Linked DNA regions of Oryctolagus cuniculus. The protein of the gene in region 3 interacts with the protein of the main gene of each other region in a biochemical or structural test. Links are inferred from orthologs where the notes say so. Each region holds a gene or a part of one and is shown on either strand. Other genes may lie near its edges.

Region 1 (3,679 bases), on a different chromosome or scaffold from region 3:
GACCCCGGAGAGCTCCCTGGGTAGAAAGAAGCGCTCAAAAGCCCAGGCCAGCAGCGAGAGGGGGTAGGGGTCCGGCGACGGCGCTCCCTGGGCAGCTGCGGGGAGCCAAGGCCATCCCCGACGACCCTGGCGCCCTGTCCAGGCCCCGTCACAGGGGCCGCGTGGCCAGGGCGCCGGCATCCCAACCGCTCTGCCTGGGGAGGCAGCAGATGGTCTGAGGACGTGGGGTCCCCACCCATGTGGGAGACCCGGGTGGCGTTCCTGGCTCCCGGCCATTGCAGCCATTTGGGGGACGAACGAGCGGACGGCAGCTCTAACTCTGCCTTTCAAATAAACAAATCTCATTATAAATCAACAGTCCCGAAGGCCGTCTGCCCGCCTGTGAACTTCATTCAGATTGCGCAGGTGCCCACACCCGCCCGCGGGGCAGCATGGGAGACGGACCGCACAGACAGCAGCCGACAGAGCGCCGAGTCAGCACCACTCGCTCCACTAAGGACGCGCTCAGGGGTCATGGGGGTGGTGCGCGGGTGGAGATGGGCTGGCTCCCAGCACGGAGGCTGTCCCCGGCACAGCGGGACGACACGACACGACACGACACGACACGCCAGGCCAGCGCGCGTTTATTGCGGCCTCACTCCTTGAGGGAGAAGTGCATCTTGTCGCTGATGAGCTTGCGCTCGGGGTTGAGCCGCTTCAGGATCTGGGCCAGCACGTTCACCGTCTGCTCGCTGCTCAGCCCCGTCTTCTTGGTCTGGAACTTCTTCAGCAGGTCCTTGGTGGTCATGGGCTTCCGCGTCAGGTAGCGGCGCACGGCGTCCTCCGTCACCTGCACGTCCCTGCGGGGCGGCGGGCGGGCGCCTGTGAGCGGGTCCCCGCGGCCCCGCACCGCCCCCCGCCCCTGCCCGCCCCCGCCCCGCTCGCCCACGTACCCGCCGCTGGGCGTGGACTTCCCCGAGGACGGCTGGGGGGTCGACTTTCCAGACAGGTTCTGGGGCCCCGCGTCGAGCCGCAAGCGCTTGGCCGCCGGCGTCTCACTCGGCCGCTTCCCTGTGGGATGGGATGGGGTCGGGGCTGAGCCTCGGGCGGGTGGGGCCCGGGCCCAGAGAGGGCAGGTTCTGACCCAGGGCCGGGCAGAGCGGCCCGGTACCCACCTTGCTCCAGCTTGCTGGCCGCCGCCCGCAGCGTGGACGAGGCGCCGCCGCCCTCCGTGCTGGGCGTGCCGGGGCGGCTGTTGCCGCGTGAGCTGCCTCCCGACGGCTTCCGCTCCCTCTTGGGGGGGGTCTTCTTCTTCTGCGGGGGCGGGGGCAGGGTGTGAGAACGCTCACAGACGCCCCAGCCCCGGCCCACCCCGGCCCCCGCCACGCCTGCGTCTTACAGCCATGAAGAGGGCAGAGGAGGCCTCGCTGTCGATGTCGCTGTCCTCGGAGCTGTCCGACTCGTCGCTGCTGTCTGCAGGGCCGGTGGTCGGGAGTCAGGCCCAGAGCGGCGCGGGACCCCTGCGCGCCCGCCCACCGCGCACGGGGGAGGCCTGGGATGGCCCCCACCTGTCCTACACGCGAGACCCCTGCGGGCGCCCGCCCCACAGCCCACGGGGGCGGCCTGCGAGGGGCCCCACCTTTCGTGCACCCGAGACCCCTGCTCGCGCCGCCCGCCCGCCCACCGCGCACGGGGGAGGCCTGGGAGGGCCCCACCTTTCCGGCGCTTCTTCTCCTGTGGGGTGGGGGCTTTCTTCTCTTCCTCCTCCTCCCTGTCCTCCTCGGGCGGCTTCTCCTCCTCACTCTCCTCACTGCTCTCGCTCTGCTCGTCGACCCCTGGGGGAGGGGTGGCTGTGAGCAGGGGGCCGCCCAGCGCGCCCCCCCTCCCGCCCCCACCCCGGGCGCCGCCTACCCTTGGGCCCCTCCTCCGGCTGCGGCACTTTGGGCTTGCCCTCAGCCTCGTCCTGGGAGCTGCTGCAAGACACGGCGGCAGGGGTGAGTGGGCGGGTCTGCGAGCGGCGTGGGGGCTTGCGGGGGTCACCGGCCTCCCCTGCTCACCTGGAGCCGTCGGACATGTAGTCCACCTCCTGGCCCTCGAAGTCCCCGTCGTCGCTGTCCTCGAAGGCCTCGTCATCGGAGCCCTTCTTCTTCTTCTTCTTCCTGCCCGCCTTGGTCAGCGGCCCCTTCTTCTTGGCCTTGGGGGCTCTGCTGCCTGCGGGGGCGGGGGCGGGGGAGGAAGGGCTCAGGCCACGGGCCGTCCTGGGCTTCCTGGTTGACGATGCGCTGACGGGGGCCACTGCACCCACCCTCCAGACGACGAGGGCCTGCTAGGAGCGCACCGCCTCCTGGCGACCGCCCAGGCCGGGCCCACAACCCAAGCCCCCTTCCTGTGATGCACACACCCGCACACGCACCAGGCCCACGTGCTGACGAGTAGGACGGCCCCCAGAGCCCGGTGTCCACCAGGCTCATTCAAACTGGCCAACCCCGGGGCGGCCACGGGGCCCAGAGTGCCCGCATCTCACGTCCGCTTGCCTGGCCTCAAGTCCGGGCTCCGGCCCCTGCCCTCACTGCCTGCTAAGTGACTGGGTAGGTTCCTGGCTGCAGCCTGGTCCAGCCTGGGAGGAGGACGCGTTCTGCCCCTGGCTGGGCCAACAGCCAGCTACCGCTAAGCTCTCCTGGGGGCGCCCGCACCCACTCAGCCCTCGCCCCAGCCGCACCCTCCTCGCCGCTGGCCTCGCTGTCGTCCGACGACATCTCCAGGTCGTCCTCCAGGTCGTGGATGCGCAGCTCGCTGGCCTTCTTGTGGCCGCCTTTCTCCTTCTCGCCCTCGCCCTCGTCCTGGTCCTGGTCCTTGAGCCGCCGCTGCTGCATGATGCTGAAGTGGTTCAGCACCTTGTTCCTCCTGCGGGCAGAGGGGCTGCTGGGTGACGAGGGCGCCCCCAGGGACTCGGGGCGCCCTGACCCCGCCTGGGAGAGCTGCCTTACCCCTGAAGCCCTCTCCAGCCCAGCGTCCACTCACAGCGCCCCCCCCCCCCCCCCAGTCTGTCTTTGTATATCATGAACGGGAGCCTTTAACAAAAAGCTTTCCCTTTATTTCAGAGGCCGAGACAGCTGCCACCCGCTGGGTCACTCCCCAGGTGCCTGCAAGAAGCCCGGCCAAAGCCAGCAGCCCAGGACTCAATGCAGGTCTCCCACGTGGCTCCCAGCCTGCTAAGCCCTCGCCGCTGCTCCCCAGGGCGTGCATTGGCCGGAAGCCGGCATCGGGAGCCAGGGCCAGGGCTCAGAGCCAGGCGCTCCCACAGGGGCTGCGGGTGCTTTCCCCGCCCTGCGTCTTTGGGCACTCGTTCAGGGTGAGAGAGAAGCCGTGACACTCACTACCATGTGGGTGGACCTTGAAACGGGCGCAGTGGGAGACACGAGGTCAAACCTCCCCGACTGCACTCCTGGGAGGTCCCTGGGGCAGTCAGATCCAGGGACAGGAAATGGAGTAGGGGGCGCCGGGGACACCTGCAGATGCATCTGTGGCCTGTGTCACCGCAGAGGCCCCAGGGAGGCGGGGCCCAGCCCTGTGGCCACACACACGCTCCAGTTCCAGTCCCGGCTGCTCCACCTCTGATCCAGCTGCCCGCAAATGCTCCTGGGAAGGCAGCAGAGGACCCAAGGACTTGGGTCTCTGCCACCCAGGTGGCAGAGATGGT
Region 2 (3,819 bases), on a different chromosome or scaffold from region 3:
GGGGGGGGGGCGGCAGAAGATGGTCCAAGTCCTTGGGCCCCTGCACCCATGCGGGAAACCAGGAAAAAGCTCTCGTCTCCTGGCTTCGGATTATGCAAGCTCCAGCCATTGCGGCCATCAGAGGAGTGAACCAACAGATGGAAAATCTGTCTCTCCCTAACTCCGCCTTTTAAATAAATAAAACTTAAAAAAAAAAAAAAAAAGCACAGATTTCAATATTATTTAAAAAAATTATAAAGAAAATATCTCCTGGTTATTAACCAATTATTTTTATTATATTTTAAGCCTTTTCTTACCTCAGTCATTAACCACTGTTTCTGCTTGAGTCCAATATCTAAATGCTGGGTTTCATCCAAAATTTCTTCTAAAGTTAGAGGATGTGTGTCTCCTCGCTGATGTCGTGTCTATTGAGGGAAGAAATCATTGTCAGTGTTTTAAAATGCTAGATACACTAAATCAAAGCTACCCATAAATAAATCCTTTCAGGAATATAGAACATGTATTATTTGAGGCAGTAAAATTATACTAATTAAAAGCACTGATGATGAAATCAGATAGAATAAAAAAATCATATAACAAGAAAAAAGCATTTGCAACTCACATCACAAAGAGCTAATCTTAATATTTAAGAGCTCCAAACACCTAACAAGGAAATACCCAAAGAGACGAATCCTCAGATGACAGAAAAAGAAATACAAACGATCTTAAACATATGAAAAGACACTCAATTTTTGCCAAGATATTTCTCACTTATTCGAGCTGAACAATTCCAAATGTCTGCCAATTTTATTAGTGAAGCTAGAGGAAAATGCCTTTCTCAAAGACTACTGATAACAGTATAAACTGGTACAACCCTAGAGAGCAGTTTGGCAGTGTGAATTAACTAAATCCTTTGACATAGCAATCTTATTTCTAGGAATTTACCCTATAAACATGCCAGCACAGCACAAAAAAAGTGATTAAAAGTCATTGCAATATTGTTTGTACAAGAAAAATACTAGAGGGGCCAGCGCTGTGGTGTAGTGGGTTAAGCCACCACCTGCAGTGCCGGCATCCCACATGGGCACGGGTTTGAAACCTGTCTGCTCCACTTCCAATCCGGCTCTCTGCTATGGACTGGGATAGCAGTAGAAGGTGGCCCAAGTCCTTGAGCCCCTGCACTCACATGGGAGACCCGGAGGAAGCTCCGGCCATTGCGGCCAATTGGGGAGTGAACCAGTGGATGGAATACCTTTCTCTCACTCTGCCTCTCCTTCTGTGTTTAACCCTGACTTTCAAATAAATAAATAAATCTTTAAATATATATGTATATTAGAAATAACCCTAGTGGCCATTAACAGACAATTCACTAAGTAAACTGCATCCTACATGCTACTGTTCAGATGTTTAATGCTATGTTCTCTATGTGCTAATTTTTTTTAAAAAGATTTATGTATTTATTTGAAAGGCAGAGTTACACAGAGAAGGAGAGACAGAGAGTGGTCTTGCATCCACTGGTTCACTCCACAATTGGTTGCAATGGCCAGAGCTGTGCCAATCCAAAGCCAGGAACTTCCTCCAGGTTTCCCACACCGGTGCAGAGGCCCAAGGACCTGGGCCATCTTCTACTGCTTTCCCAGGCCATAGCAGAGAGCAAGATCAGAAGTGGAGCAGCCGGGTCTTGAACCATGCCGGCACGGCAGGTGGCGGCTTTACCCACTACGCCACGGCGCCAATTTAAAAAAAAAAAAAAGCATTGCTACTTCACTGGCCGTAGCATACGTTTTCATAATGGCTTGCCTTTTTTTTTTTTTTCTTTATTTTTTGACAGGCAGAGTGGACAGTGAGAGAGAGAGAGAGAGAGAGAAAGGTCTTCCTTTTTCCATTGGTTCACCCTCCAATAGCCGTGCGGCTGGCATGCTGCAGCCGGCGCACCGCACTGATCCGATGGCAGGAGCCAGGTGCGTATCCTGGTCTCCCATGGGGTGCAGGGCACAAGGACTTGGGCCATCCTCCACTGCACTCCCTGGCCACAGCAGAGAGCTGGTCTGGAAGAGGGGCAACCAGGACAGAATCCGGCGCCCCAACCGGGACTAGAACCCGGTGTGCCGGCGCCACAAGGTGGAGGATTAGCCTAGTGAGCAGCGGTGCCTGCGAGCATAATGGCTTGTAATAGGGCTTCTCAACCAGCATTCCACAAAACCCTAAAGTTACAAAAAAAAAAAATCAAGATATTAAGAAATAAATGTTTTAACTTCACAAAGTACTAATGCTTATGGTTAACAGGTCATTACTGAGTTCATGCTAGCAGTTTCATTAGAAGTCTATTAGCAGCAAGCAGTAGCAGCACACAAGTAGGACTATGTTCATGCTGCTAAGATCACCTCTTTTTTTCTGCAAAATGGAGGAGAGCTTTTATAACTGGTAAACCATACACCTCACAAATGGGAACACAGGGGAACGAGAATGTCAGCAATTCCCTTCCAAATTATATCCCCCAACTTCCCCTTACAGTGTCAGTTAACTTAGGGGAGCAATCAAGCTCTACAGGCATAAATAGGAAATCTGACGGAAATTTCACTGATTCAAGTAATGTTCACACACCATGATTCAACTGCTATCTGCTGCTCTTCTGTTGTAAATGCGGCAAAGCACAGATCATGTAGTAAAAAAAAAAAAAAAAAAGTAACCTTCACTGTGAGGTTTTCTTTTTTTTTTTTTTTCTTAACTTTCTCAGTTGTTATTCCCCTTACCTGCTGCCTTCCAAGGTATGCATTAGCAGGAAGCTGGAATAGACAGCAGAGTTGGGACTCAAACCCAGGCATTCTAACATGGATGTCCCAAGCAGCGTCTTAACCACTGTGCCAGATACCTCTATCCCTAGTACTTGTTTCACAAACATGTCTGACCAACCGATGTGATTTTTTTTAAGATGATATTTGTGATGGAAGAGGATTCCAAATCTAGACTGATAAGCAATTTTACTATGGTTAATAATAAAGAACTATAATTTCCCAAGTCATGTTACTATACCAATATAGCAAGAAATACCAAACTGGGCGTACACCACATATGATATAAGCACCCCATTCTGGATTGCTGATTTGAGTACCAGCCACTCTACTTTTAGTTTAGCTCCCTGCTAATAATGTCTGGGAAGGCAGTGGAAAATGGCCCAAGTGCTTGGGTCCCTGCTACCCATCTGGGATACCAGGATGGAATTCCTGCCTCCTGGCTTCAGCCTGGCCACAGAAGACATTTCAGGAATGAACCAATGGATGAAAGATCTCTCCCCACCATCCACCCCACCCAGCCTCTGCTGCTCAACCTTTCAACTACATAAATCGTTTTAAAAAAAAAAAAAAAGAGGGAAGGGCTGGCGCTGTGGCTAGCAAGCTGAGCCTCTGTCTGCGGAGCAGATATCACATATGGCCACCCGTTCATGTCCCGGCTGCCCCTCCTCCGACCCAGTTCTCTGCTGCAGTGGAAGATGGCCCAAGTGCTTGAGCTCCTGCACCCAGGTGGGAGACCTAGAAGAATCTCACGGCCTTGGATCGGTCCAGAGATAGTGGTTGCAGCCATTTGAGAAATGAACCAGCAGTTAGAAGACCTATCTCTGTCTCTCCCTCTAACTCTCAAATAAATAAAATCTTAAAAATAATGAGGGATGATACAAGACAACACCTGACACTACAAAGCTAACTACTAATCAACAATTTTCACATGGGATGGTAATCCTCCTTTTCCACTGTGCATCGCCTATGGCAAACAACTTATAATAGATCCAGGAAACTGAAAAGACAAAAAATCCACCAGTAGACAAATCAAGGTACTTACTAG
Region 3 (3,919 bases):
TGTCCTGCAATACTGGAAAGGCGGAATGTGTCTGGCACAAAAATAACCCCTAGGAGTTACAAATTAGAAAAACAACACTTTTAAAAAAGATTTTTACTTTCCTGGTAGAAATATAAAAACTGGTTTATGGGGAAAAATTAAACAAAATAAAAAGTCCAATCAATTATACAGGTGGCTTTAACACTTAAAAGTTTTGTCTCTTAAACCAACTTGTCAACAGCAGTGTTTAAAACCTAAATATAAATAAACGGGCAGCACTGCCCGGATAGCAGCACAGTAGGAGCAACTCACAGTAATGCTGCGTGGTGTTCTCAGTGCAGAAACAATGCCCTCCCAGGGCCCCTGGCGGGACACACTCGAAAGAGCATCGCCTGGTGCCGTGACCTGCAACTGAACCTCCATCTTCTCAACACCACCATTGAAAGGTACCAAACTGATTTCTTTAAAAAACATGTGGGTAGGGGAGGCAGAAGTACATGACAGCTATTACGTCGTCTTCCGGAATCCCTTTAGAATAGGGTAGATGTTTTCAAATGCTTCATAGATTTCTGCTCTGACTTTAGCACCTACAAAGGCAAGAGTGTGAAAACGCATTTCTCAACATCTTAAGGTGGTAAAATTATTATCTTAAAACAAAACTGCAAGCACAATTTTCTCCATACTCAGTTTTACAATTATAGGCATTGAAACTTTAATGGTGGCATCCCTTATCATACCCCAATCACTCCTCAGATGGCTGCAATGGCTGGATCTGGGCCAATCCGAAGCCAGGAGCCAGGAGCTTCTTCCAGGTCTCCCATGTGGGTGCAGGGGCCCAAGGGCGTGGGCCATTTTCTTTTTTTCATAGTTTTTTTTCTTTCTTTTTTTTTTACAGGCAGGGTGGACAGTGAGAGAGAGAGAGAAAGGTCTTCCTTTGCCGTTGGTTCACCCTCCAATGGCCGCCACGGCCGGCACGCTGTGGCTGGCGCACCATGCTGATCCGAAGACAGGAGCCAGGTACCTCTCCTGGTCTCCCATGGGGTGCACGGCCCAAGCACTTGGGCCATCCTCCACTGCACTCCCGGGCCATAGCAGAGAGCTGGCCTGGAAGAGGGGCAACCGGGACAGAATCCGGCGCCCCAACCGGGACTAGAACCCGGTGTGCCGGTGCCGCAAGGCAGAGGATTAGCCTAGTGAGCCGCGGCGCCAGCCTTGGGCCATTTTCTACAGCTTTTCCAGGCCATAGCAGAGAGCTGGATCTGAAGTGGAGCAGCTAGGACTCAAACCCGCACCCAAAAGGGACGCTAGCACTGTAGGCAGCGGCTTTACCAGCTACATCCCAATTCCAGCCCCTCTAAAGTATTTTCTTAAAATGATTTTCTACATTACAACAGCAATGCTTATGGGGACTCCAGCCTCCCACTCTACAGCTCATTGCTACACAATCAGAGTAACCTGGCAGGGCAGCAGCGAGAGTGACTGGATCTTAACGTCCCAACTACTGCCTTCAAGTCAGTGCTTCTGAATCTCCCTTTGTTCTCATGACACTGCTGACAAACCCATGGAAGATACCTGCTCTTACCCAATGCCAGGCTCATTTCCCCTCCCCAGTATAAATGGAGGTCATGCTTTGACTGAAGGCCCAGCAGGGCTTTGTCACATCCCCCTGCTCTGATTTCTTCCCAGCAGTAGGTACTTTTCTCATAGAGTAAGAGTAGGGGAAAGAAGATAAAGGTTGGTAGCCAACTATTCAATGCTGTGAAATTCCTTTCAGCTCTGAGAAAATGCCCACCTTTAAATTCATTCAAACTTTCAGGTGCTAATTCCCATTTGAACTTACCTGTTAATACAACTTTCCCAGAAACAAAAATAAGGAGAACGATTCTGGGTTTGATCATTCTGTAGATTAAACCAGGAAATAACTCTGGCTCATAACTAGAAGGAAAACGGCAAAAACAGATTAGAAATGAAGTTTCCCATGCTTGAGGGTTTAATACCTCAACAAGCCCACTCACTGCACAACACATCCAGGAAGAGAGCACTTACAGCAAGCGAGCCGGAGCTGCATCCACACCTGGACCAGCCAGTGGCTGGCTGCCCTGTCACTTCACCAGCTCCTCTTGCTGAGAAGAGGAGCTGTGCATTTGTTCTGTAGAATGCAGTTCTTACAAAGAGTGATTCTGCCTGAGTTTAGATAAATCTACGTAAAATCATTTATTTCTTTTTTAAAGATTGATTTATTTATTTGAAAGGCAGAGTTCAGAATGAGAGATCTTTGGCCAGGCCAAAGCTAGGAGCTTCATCCTGGTCTCCCACATGGGTGTGTCAGGGGTCCAAGCACTTGGGCCATCTTCCACTGCTTTCCCAGGTGCATTCTCAGGGAGCTGGATCAGAAATGGAGCACCTGAGTCTCAAACTGGCGCCGATATGGAGCAGTTTTACCCACTACACACACCACAACACCAGCCCCAAATCTTTTATTTCTAAAATACAACATTGACAATTTGCCTACTTCTAAATTTACTTTTAATTGAATATTTGTCCATATTTATGAGTACAGTAAGAAAATCTGATACAGCTGCACAAGGTGTATGATCAAACAGGGTAATTAGCATTTCCATCTCCTCACTTATCATGTCTATGTGTTGGGAACCTTTACACACTTGCCTAGTTGTTTTGATATAGACAGTTTTGCTTTCAATCTTATCTCACTTCCTTAAATGGAATATCCTCTAGCTGTCAATTCTGGCCAAGTAATTTATGTGACACACCAGATACTATACTCCAGTTACATGGTCTGATCGAATGGACTGTTGCTACCTCCTATTCTAACTTCATAATCTCATTTTTCTAGTTCAGAGGTTCTGAAAACCAGGTGTCCCTGTGTCTGTGAGTGGCCTCTCTGAGGAAGGGCAGCAAGGGTGGGTATCTGAACTCAAGTGGACATCTCCTAGAACGCTGATGCTGGTCAATGAGCCTGCAGCACAGCATGGTGAGTCGAGGGACACAGAGAACCACGTGACGCTGAGAAGAAGCTGCAAGGTGGGAAGGACTACCTGCCTCGAGTCTCCCAAATAAATGGAAAGAATGTTCCCATCACCCACTTCACATTTTGTCAGCAGAGCTGATATAATGTTGACTAAAAGGAAAGATTCAAACTGGGAAAAACTAATGCAAGAAGCTGTCGATTCAACTCAAGCATTTGCTGAGCCATAAAATGGTAAAACCCAGAAGTGGAAACAAGTTCATTCCAGTGCAGAGGAGTTTGGGGTATGGCTACCGATGTGGCAGGAGGAGGCTGATAGGGAGACAGCATCACAACTCTGCATGCCTCACCGGCTCTTACTCCCTACATAGCTGGCTTGTGTTTTATCCTGAAACACACTAAGGAGATTACAAATGTGTCCCAGCCCAAGCAGAGTACATCCCCGCTCACCTGCTGAACTGCTGGTGGGTGAGCACCAGGCCTTCCAGCCGTATGGGGAACTTCACGTCACAGCTCCCCACCATGTTCTGAATCTTGAAGTCCAAGAACTTAGCTGGAAAACCCAGCTTCTGCACAACTCTGGCATATTTTCTTGCTGCTAGTCTAGACTGTTCTTCACTAGAAAAAAGAAAAAAAAAATTAAGTTCTTTATACTCTAATCCAGCTAACATAAATATTTAGATGAGTAATATTAAAAATTCCAAATTAGGAAATGAATAACACATAAACTGGTCATCTTCCTTTCAACAGGATAAAAGAACAGATATTAACAATTTATTGTCAAGTATTCCTATGTCCTCCAGAGAAAACAGAATGCTCTCTTTCAATTCACTGAATTACTGACAGCCCTAGATTTTACGGAAGTGAAATGTGCCATCACTAATACACTGTGGGGGCCAGTGCTGTGGCACAGTGAGTTAAGCTGCCACCTGTGATGCTAGCACCCCATATGAG

What was found.
Region 1: the proteins of TBP (region 3) and GTF2F1 form a complex in vitro, tested with the Homo sapiens proteins (3 studies listed by BioGRID, with this or other methods). The link is inferred for Oryctolagus cuniculus from reciprocal best matches to the Homo sapiens genes TBP and GTF2F1.
Region 2: the proteins of TBP (region 3) and GTF2E2 form a complex in vitro, tested with the Homo sapiens proteins (2 studies listed by BioGRID). The link is inferred for Oryctolagus cuniculus from reciprocal best matches to the Homo sapiens genes TBP and GTF2E2.

The regions. Positions count from the first base shown.
Region 1 is NC_091447.1:60,703,032-60,706,710, forward strand, and holds the end of GTF2F1 (general transcription factor IIF subunit 1), read right to left. Parts: intron 2,884-3,679; coding exon 2,699-2,883; intron 2,191-2,698; coding exon 2,037-2,190; intron 1,953-2,036; coding exon 1,891-1,952; intron 1,815-1,890; coding exon 1,695-1,814; intron 1,453-1,694; coding exon 1,379-1,452; intron 1,294-1,378; coding exon 1,155-1,293; intron 1,051-1,154; coding exon 933-1,050; intron 840-932; coding exon 635-839; 3' UTR 608-634; downstream 1-607. UniProt on the Homo sapiens protein: TFIIF is a general transcription initiation factor that binds to RNA polymerase II and helps to recruit it to the initiation complex in collaboration with TFIIB. It promotes transcription elongation.
Region 2 is NC_091433.1:80,641,604-80,645,422, forward strand, and holds part of GTF2E2 (transcription initiation factor IIE subunit beta), read right to left. Parts: intron 405-3,819; coding exon 297-404; intron 1-296. UniProt on the Homo sapiens protein: Recruits TFIIH to the initiation complex and stimulates the RNA polymerase II C-terminal domain kinase and DNA-dependent ATPase activities of TFIIH. Both TFIIH and TFIIE are required for promoter clearance by RNA polymerase.
Region 3 is NC_091436.1:37,207-41,125, forward strand, and holds part of TBP (TATA-box-binding protein), read right to left. Parts: intron 3,584-3,919; coding exon 3,416-3,583; intron 1,915-3,415; coding exon 1,820-1,914; intron 567-1,819; coding exon 487-566; 3' UTR 1-486. UniProt on the Homo sapiens protein: The TFIID basal transcription factor complex plays a major role in the initiation of RNA polymerase II (Pol II)-dependent transcription.